2 linked regions of the Callithrix jacchus genome follow. The protein of the gene in region 2 purifies or fractionates together with the protein of the main gene of each other region. This does not show direct contact. Links are inferred from orthologs where the notes say so. Each region holds a gene or a part of one and is shown on either strand. Other genes may lie near its edges.

Region 1 (4,426 bases), on a different chromosome or scaffold from region 2:
GTTATTCCAGCAACTTGGGAAGCAGAGACAAGAGAATTGCTTGAACCCGGGAGGCAGAAGTTGCAATGAGCTAAGATCGCACCACTGCACTCCAGCTTGAGTGACTGAGCAAGACTCAGTCTCAAAAAAAAAAAAAAAAAAAAAAAAGAGAGATGCTAGAAGTGGGGAGCTCAGGGAGCCCCCAGGGCTGGCGTCCTTCTGTGGCCTGGTCTGGCTACAGGTCTCACAGGTGCACATTTAGAGAGAGACCCTGTGTTGCACACCTGAGATAGCTAACCTGGGTAGACCAGGTTACACCTGAGAAAAATGAGACTTGGCCAGGCACAGTGGCTCATGCCTGTAATCCCAGCACTTTGGGAGGCTGAGGCTGGGGGATCACCTGAGATCAGGAGTTTGAGACCAGCCTGGTCAACATGGTGAAACCCCGTCTCTACCAACATTACAAAAAAAAAAAAAAAAATTAGCCAGGCGCAGTGGCAGGCACCTGTAATCTGTAATCCCAGCTACCAGGGAGGCTGAGGCAGGAGAATCACTTGAACCTGGGAGGCAGAGGTTGCAGTGAGATGAGATCGTACCACTGCTCTCCAGCCTAGGCAACAGAGCAAGAGTTGGCCTCAAAAAATAAAACATAAAATAAAAGCCTGGGTGTGATGGCTCCCACCTGTAATCCCAGCACTTTAGGAGGCCGAGGCAGGTGGATCACCTGAGGTCAGGAGTTTGAGACTAGCCTGACCAATATGGTGAAACCCTGTCTCTACTAAAAATACAAAAACTAGCCAGGCATGGTGGCAGGCAACTGTAGTCCCAGCTACTCAGGAGGCTGAGACAGGAGAATAGCTTGAACCCAGGAGGTGAAGACTGCAGTGAGCCAAGATTGGGCCACTGCACTCCAGCCTGGGTGACAGTCAGACTCTGTCTCAGAAAAAAACAAAGAAAAATGAGAAAACTCAGAATGCATTATATTCCTCCAATGTGTTCTGGGACAGGACTCGTGGGCGAGATCCAGCCTGAAGCCTCTTTTTTTTTTTTTTTTTTTTTAATTTTTGGTAGAGGTGGGGGTCTCACTATGTTGCCCAGAATGGTCATAAACTCCTGGGCTCAAGCCATCCTCCCGCCTCAGCCTCCCAAAGTGTGGGGATTCCAAGCATGAGGCATCTGGCTGAAAGGCAGCCTGTTTTTGTATAGCCCTCAGGCTAAGAACACTTTCCATTTGTAAATGGTTGTCTCAGTAACTGAACCATTCTGGCCAGCCAAACCCAAAATACTTGTCATCTGGCCCTTTATAGAAAAAGTCTGCCAATCTCAGTTCTGGGATACAAGAAAAACAAAAAGGGAAGCTGGCCGCGGTGACTCATGCCTGTAATTCCAGCACTTTGGGAGGCTGAGGCTGGAGGATCACTTGAGCCCAAGAGTTTGAGACCAGCCTGGTCAACACAGCTGAACCCGTCTCTATAAAAAATAAAAGGAAACCGGCTGTAGCTCACGCCTATAATCCCAGCACTTTGGGAGGCCGAGGTGGGCGGATCACGAGGTCAAGAGATTGAGACCATCCTGGTCAACGAGGTGAAACCCCGTCTCTACTAAAAATACAAAAATTAGCTGGGCATGGTGGTGCGTGCCTGTAATCCCAGCTACTCAGGAGGCTGAGGCAGGAGAATTGCCTGAACCCAGGAGGCGGAGGTTGCAGTGAGCCGAGATCGTGCCATTGCACTCCAGCCTGGGTAACAAGAGCGAAACTCCGTCTCAAAAAAATAAAATAAAATAAATAAAAGGAAACCAAGAAGGAGCTGAGGAGGACTTTTCACTTCACACTGACTTTTCTACTGTCTGAATTGTTACATTTTTAAATTACCATGCTCATTTTTTTGTTGTTGTTTTCTAATCGAAGCATAATGTGGATGACATGTAATTTAAATGTAAAGTTTGATGAATTAAGAGACATGCATTCCGCAGAGCAAGGTGGCTGTGCCTGTAGTCCCATCCGTTTGGGAAGCCGATAGAGGTGTATCACTTGAGCCCAGGAGTTCAAGCCAGCCTGGGCAAGCTGTTGAGATCCCATCTCTACAGAAAATACAAAAAGCCAGGTGCAGGCTTATACTCCCAGCTACTCAGGAGGCTGAGGTGGGAGGATGGCTTGAGCCCAAGGGGCGGAGGTTGCCGAGATCACTCTAGCCCGGGCAACAGAACGATACCCTGTCTCAAAAAAAAAAAAAAAAAAAAAAAAAGTAACGTATGTATTCACCCTTAAATTATGTTTAAAGGTTTGTATTTGTCTGTTAAACCTGGGGACTGAGTATGGGCACCTTTTAAGTTCTCTTTTTCATTCTTCTGTGTTGAGCCCGATAACAAAATTTAACATGCTACCTAAAACATTTGAAAAGTTTAAGAATAAGGATTGCTGGGACACTTTGCAGGCGCGGGGCTGCCTGCAGGGAACCACCGCATCGAACTTCTTGTAAATTACCCCCAGGTTCCAGGTTGCGGCCTTAGCCTTGCCTTGGGGAGTCGCGGCCTCTTTTGGGCCTCAGTTTCCGCATCTGAGAAACCCAAGGGTGGCCGAGGGCCAGGGCGCAGGCTATGCCTCAGTTTAACCTACGGTAAAATGTAAATAATCAAAGGGACCAATCTCCTGGGCTGTTACGAGAAGGAGGCGGAGCTGGGAAAGCGCTCAACAAACTGCAGCAGTTACTGTTATTATTATAGAAGCTATGGGGGATCTCCGGACTCCGCCTCCGGTCACACCGCCGGGGAAACTGCGGCCCGCTTGTGTCCCCGGAACCCCGCCCCTGAGTCCCGAGTGCCCAGACTCTGAGACCCCGACGCAGAGAGATACTGACCTGACAGTCCTCGACGCGGCAAGTTCCGTTTGTAGTCGATGGGCCCATAGCCCCCCGCCGGGGGCATGTCCTGCTTCACCTTCGACGCCGCCATACTCACTGGATCCCGCACTTCCGGCTCCGGGCGGAAGTGACATGTGCCACCGCCATGATGAGTGTGGCGGAATCATTTGAGATCATCTTCCGCAGCGCTGGGAAGCCGCGGGGACTAGTGTAACTACTCGACCGCGCCTGAGAGCTCTGACTGCTGACCCTGGGTCCGAATGCGCAGCTAGGCTGCAGCTGAGGAGTCATTATTCCTTCTTTCCCCCAGACCGGGCGTGTCTCAGTCGCTAGGACCCCCTGGTTCTTGCATTAAAGGCCCTCGCGTTCACTTTGCTTCTGGGGTGTTGTGTAGGCCAGTCAGAAACTCGGAGCTCCCTAGAGCCAGGTGCCCCAGTTAAGGCCCCTTTTCCCGTTTTAGCCCTCGCTAGGGACTCTACCGGAAGCCCAGGGCTCGACGTAGTCACGGGCTGGGTACATGATGTTGGGGAACAGCTGCTGCTCGATTTCGGACTCAACCCAATCCCAGGAGCGGATTCTGCTCCCTGGTGGTGGTGGGTATCCCTCGCTAGTGGCCTCTCATCGGAAACTGACCATTCAGGGTAATTATGAGTCACAAAGCAGGGAGGCTAGGGTGGCCCCAGGGCGGGGTCCCGGACCCCAAGGCGGAGTGACGCCCGAGGCCACTTCACAAGGCAAAAATTGTTACGGGGCAATAAAAGGCGTAACAGCGGCCAAGGAGCGGCAGTGGGCACATGGGGGTGCGGGGATGCAGGTGCCAAGCGCCATGGGTTAGACCCGAGATTGGAGTCCGGCCGCCCCCCAACAGCAGCCGCCTCCTGCTCCGCGTGCGCCCCAGGCGCCACCATGTCGGGTGACAAACTCCTGAGCGAACTCGGTTATAAGCTGGGCCGCACAATTGGAGAGGGCAGCTACTCCAAGGTGAAGGTGGCCACGTCCAAGAAGTACAAGGGTACCGTGGCCATCAAGGTGGTGGACCGGCGGCGGGCGCCCCCGGACTTCGTCAACAAGTTCCTGCCGCGAGAGCTGTCCATCCTGCGGGGCGTGCGGCACCCTCACATCGTGCACGTCTTCGAGTTCATTGAGGTATGCAACGGGAAGCTGTACATTGTGATGGAAGCTGCCGCCACCGACCTACTGCAGGCCGTGCAGCGCAACGGGCACATCCCCGGAGTGCAGGCTCGTGACCTCTTCACGCAGATCGCCGGCGCCGTGCGCTACCTGCACGATCACCACCTGGTGCACCGCGACCTCAAGTGCGAAAACGTGCTGCTGAGCCCGGACGAGCGCCGCGTCAAGCTCACAGACTTCGGCTTTGGCCGCCAAGCTCACGGTTACCCAGACCTGAGCACCACCTACTGCGGCTCCGCCGCCTACGCGTCACCGGAGGTGCTCCTGGGTATCCCCTACGACCCCAAGAAATACGACGTGTGGAGCATGGGCGTCGTGCTCTACGTCATGGTCACCGGGTGCATGCCCTTCGACGACTCGGACATCGCCGGTCTGCCCCGGCGCCAGAAGCGCGG
Region 2 (3,128 bases):
GCAGGCTTAGCCCTGTTGGTCCCGCGAAGCCTGGGCCACTGGTGCGGTGACGGTGGTGGGGCGGGCTTCGGAATCCGCCAGGAGGGAAGCGCGCCCGTGGGGCTGGAGAGGAAGTAAACCCAAGCGTCCGCCTCGGGGACACCCCCGCGCTTGGGGCTCTTTGTCCAGTGACGCTGCCAGCGCCCAGAGCACCAGGGGCCGAAGGGGCCCACACAGCAGCGGCGGGACCCCCAGAAACCTATTACGACCGCCCCCCAGGAGACCCACCACCAGGCCCCGACTGTGCCGAGCTCCCTGCTCGCCCAGCCCCGCGAGTAGCGAACGCAACAATGTTCCCCTGGGGCCACGACAGAGCCAGCGTGCCGAGATACCCAATCCCCGCGCGGGCGCCAACGACTCTCGCGCCAGTAGGCCCTTGACTTGGTTCAAGACGGGGGACTGGGGACTCCCAGGACGAGAGCAGAGTGAACGAGGACAAGGTGATGCTCCACGCGTTTCTACTTCAAGTCTGGTCCGGTTCTGCCCGGTCTGGCCCAGCCGAGCAGCAACCCCAACACTACCACAGCTTGCCCTTCCGCTTGCTCTGGCTGCCCGCAGACTTGGAGCTATTTTAAGGCGAAACCACCTGGCCACGCCTCCTGGAGCACCCGATAAGCCAATCCACGCTAGGCCACGCCCCTCTAGCGCGCAACTGAGAGGCCAACGGTCGCGCGGGTGACGGTTAGGGCGGGACTTGCTTCGGTTGTGAGCCGGAGAAACTTGAGCTGGTTGCCCCGCCCACGGTGCCTGAAGCCCCAAAGGCTAGGATTAGGGGCTCGAAGTCTGGCATGGACCGCCTGGCCAGGTGTTCGGTTCACGATTAGGTGGGTGGCTGCCCCGCCTCGGGAGCGCGGCTTAATAGTTGAGAGCCGGGGGTCCAGGCCGCAACTGCGGCCCACGCAACGCCGAGGGCGGCCACACTACCAGGTGTTCCACTCCCCTGGGACTGTGGGCAAGGACCCGGGGCGGGGCGAGGGGCAGGTGATGACATCGGAGCTGCGCCGGAGGCCGGGGGACTTGTCCTCCTCCCAGGACAGATGATATTCGCCGGCTGGGCCGGCCGAGCTGTGCCGTGCACTCCGGGACGCAGGGGGCGCTGCACCCGCGCTGGGTCAGCCTCCGCAGGGCCCCGCCAACCCGGTAACAACCGGCGTCAGTGACGACTTCGCCGCGCGTCGATCAGCCATGGCCACCGCTCTTGCGCTACGCAGCTTGTACCGAGCGAGACCCTCGCTGCGCTGTCTGCCTGTTGAATTTTCCTGGTGAGCTGGACCCCTCACTGTTGACCATCCCACCCCCTAGGGCCGGCGACTGCCACCCCGCACCTTCTGGCTTCTCGGGCGGCCCGTCCCGGCCCTGTGCCCCTGACCCGTTCCCTCCGCAGGGCCCCGCGACGGGGGCATCGGCTCTCGCCAGCAGATGACGAACTGTATCAGCGGACGCACATCTCTTTGCTGCAACGCGAAGGCTTTCAGACCATGTACATCGACAGTTACAACAGCCGCGGCTTCATGATAAACGGAAACCGCGTGCTCGGGCCCTGCGCTCTGCTCCCGCATTCGTTGCTGCAATGGAACGTGAGTCCTGACCCGCTGTGAGGAAACTGAGGTCCAGAGTCACAGGTCCTCAGCCTGCTTGTGTCCCTGTAGACGTGGCTTTCCTCTATCTCCTGTAGTGGATGGAGGTGGGGAGAAGCTGCGTAGATTTGTCGTACTGAATAAATCATCTCCCTGCACAGGTGGGATCCCACCAGGACATCACCGAAGAGAGCTTTTCCCTCTTCTGGATGCTGGAGCCCCGGATAGGTACTGGGGACAGGGGAGGCAGGGCAGAGGTGCTTTGAGCCCTAAAAGGCAACCCCCACTCCAACCTCTCAACAGAATTGTAGACTAGTCTCATCCTCACTTCCCTAGAGATTGTTGTGGTGGGGACTGGAGACCGGACTGAGAGGCTGCAGTCCCGGGTGCTTCGAGCCATGAGGCAGCGGGGCATTGCTGTGGAAGTGCAGGACACGGTGAGTCCTATAACTGGGGCCTGCTGTGGGGAGTACAGGCCTGGCACTAGACAGGCTGATTCTGGCCTTTTCTTTGCAGCCCAATGCCTGTGCCACCTTCAACTTCTTGTGTAATGAAGGCCGAGTAACCGGAGCTGCTCTCATCCCTCCACCAGGAGGGACTTCACTCACATCTTTGGGCCAAGCTACTCAGTGAACCACCAGGAACTGACCTGCTGACTACACTCTGCCAGTTCCCAGTGCTTTCACCCTTATCTCCCCTTTGGCATTTATCTTGCTTACCAACATAATAATTTATACACTTCTCCCATTTTGTATCAGGTGTGTTGCTGGCCAGGTGCTGCTGGCTCACTGAGCTCTTGGAGAAAAATGTGAAGAAACCAAGGGGTCACTTTTTCATCTAGATTACTTAGGATAGTATGTTTACCTGTTCTAGACCTTGCTCACATGCAGATTTCAGAGGACCTCAATGCCTTTTCTCACAAAATCACTGATTTTTTTTTTTCTCTGAGACAGAGTCTCGCTCTGTCACCCAGGCTGGAGTGCAGTGGTATGATCTTGTCCCACTGCAACCTCCACCTCCTAGATTCAAGTGATTGTCCTGCCTCAGCCTCCTGTGTAGCTGGGATTACAGGCCCCCACCACTGCACCTAATTTTTTTTTTTTTTGACATGCTGTGGGGTGATTTCTGCTCACTGCAACCTCTGCCTCCCGCGTTCAGGTGATTCCCCTGCCTCAGCCTCCCAAGTAGCTGGACTAAAGGTGCATGTCACCACGCCCAGCTAATTTTTGTATTATTAGGGATAGGGTTTTAATATGTTGCCACCTGCCTCAGCCTCCCAAAGTGATTACAGGCAAGAGCCACCACACCTGGCCGAGAGCTATTTAGGTTAGGGAATATGTATATGTCTTGACCTGGTCCTATGTGGCCAAGTATGACTTAGTAGGATGCCCGGTGGATGCCAGTCCCAGGGATTGTACTTTGACCCCTTGGGATCCAGAGGGGTAAAAGAAGCTCAGTGAGACTGAAACCCCAGGAGCCACAGCTGGTCAAAGCTGTTTTGTGAGCAGCCTT

Evidence for each region.
Region 1: the proteins of NDUFAF3 (region 2) and NDUFA13 purify together in Homo sapiens (co-immunoprecipitation; 3 studies listed by BioGRID and IntAct, with this or other methods). This does not show direct contact. The link is inferred for Callithrix jacchus from reciprocal best matches to the Homo sapiens genes NDUFAF3 and NDUFA13.

The regions. Positions count from the first base shown.
Region 1 is NC_133523.1:18,190,371-18,194,796, reverse strand, and holds the start of NDUFA13 (NADH dehydrogenase [ubiquinone] 1 alpha subcomplex subunit 13), read right to left. Parts: upstream 2,946-4,426; 5' UTR 2,932-2,945; coding exon 2,838-2,931; intron 1-2,837. Other genes in the region: TSSK6 (testis-specific serine/threonine-protein kinase 6), read left to right, coding at 3,747-4,426. UniProt on the Homo sapiens protein: Accessory subunit of the mitochondrial membrane respiratory chain NADH dehydrogenase (Complex I), that is believed not to be involved in catalysis. Complex I functions in the transfer of electrons from NADH to the respiratory chain.
Region 2 is NC_133516.1:31,651,015-31,654,142, forward strand, and holds NDUFAF3 (NADH dehydrogenase [ubiquinone] 1 alpha subcomplex assembly factor 3), read left to right. Parts: upstream 1-1,200; 5' UTR 1,201-1,224; coding exon 1,225-1,301; intron 1,302-1,423; coding exon 1,424-1,616; intron 1,617-1,777; coding exon 1,778-1,844; intron 1,845-1,952; coding exon 1,953-2,053; intron 2,054-2,132; coding exon 2,133-2,249; 3' UTR 2,250-2,363; downstream 2,364-3,128. UniProt on the Homo sapiens protein: Essential factor for the assembly of mitochondrial NADH:ubiquinone oxidoreductase complex (complex I).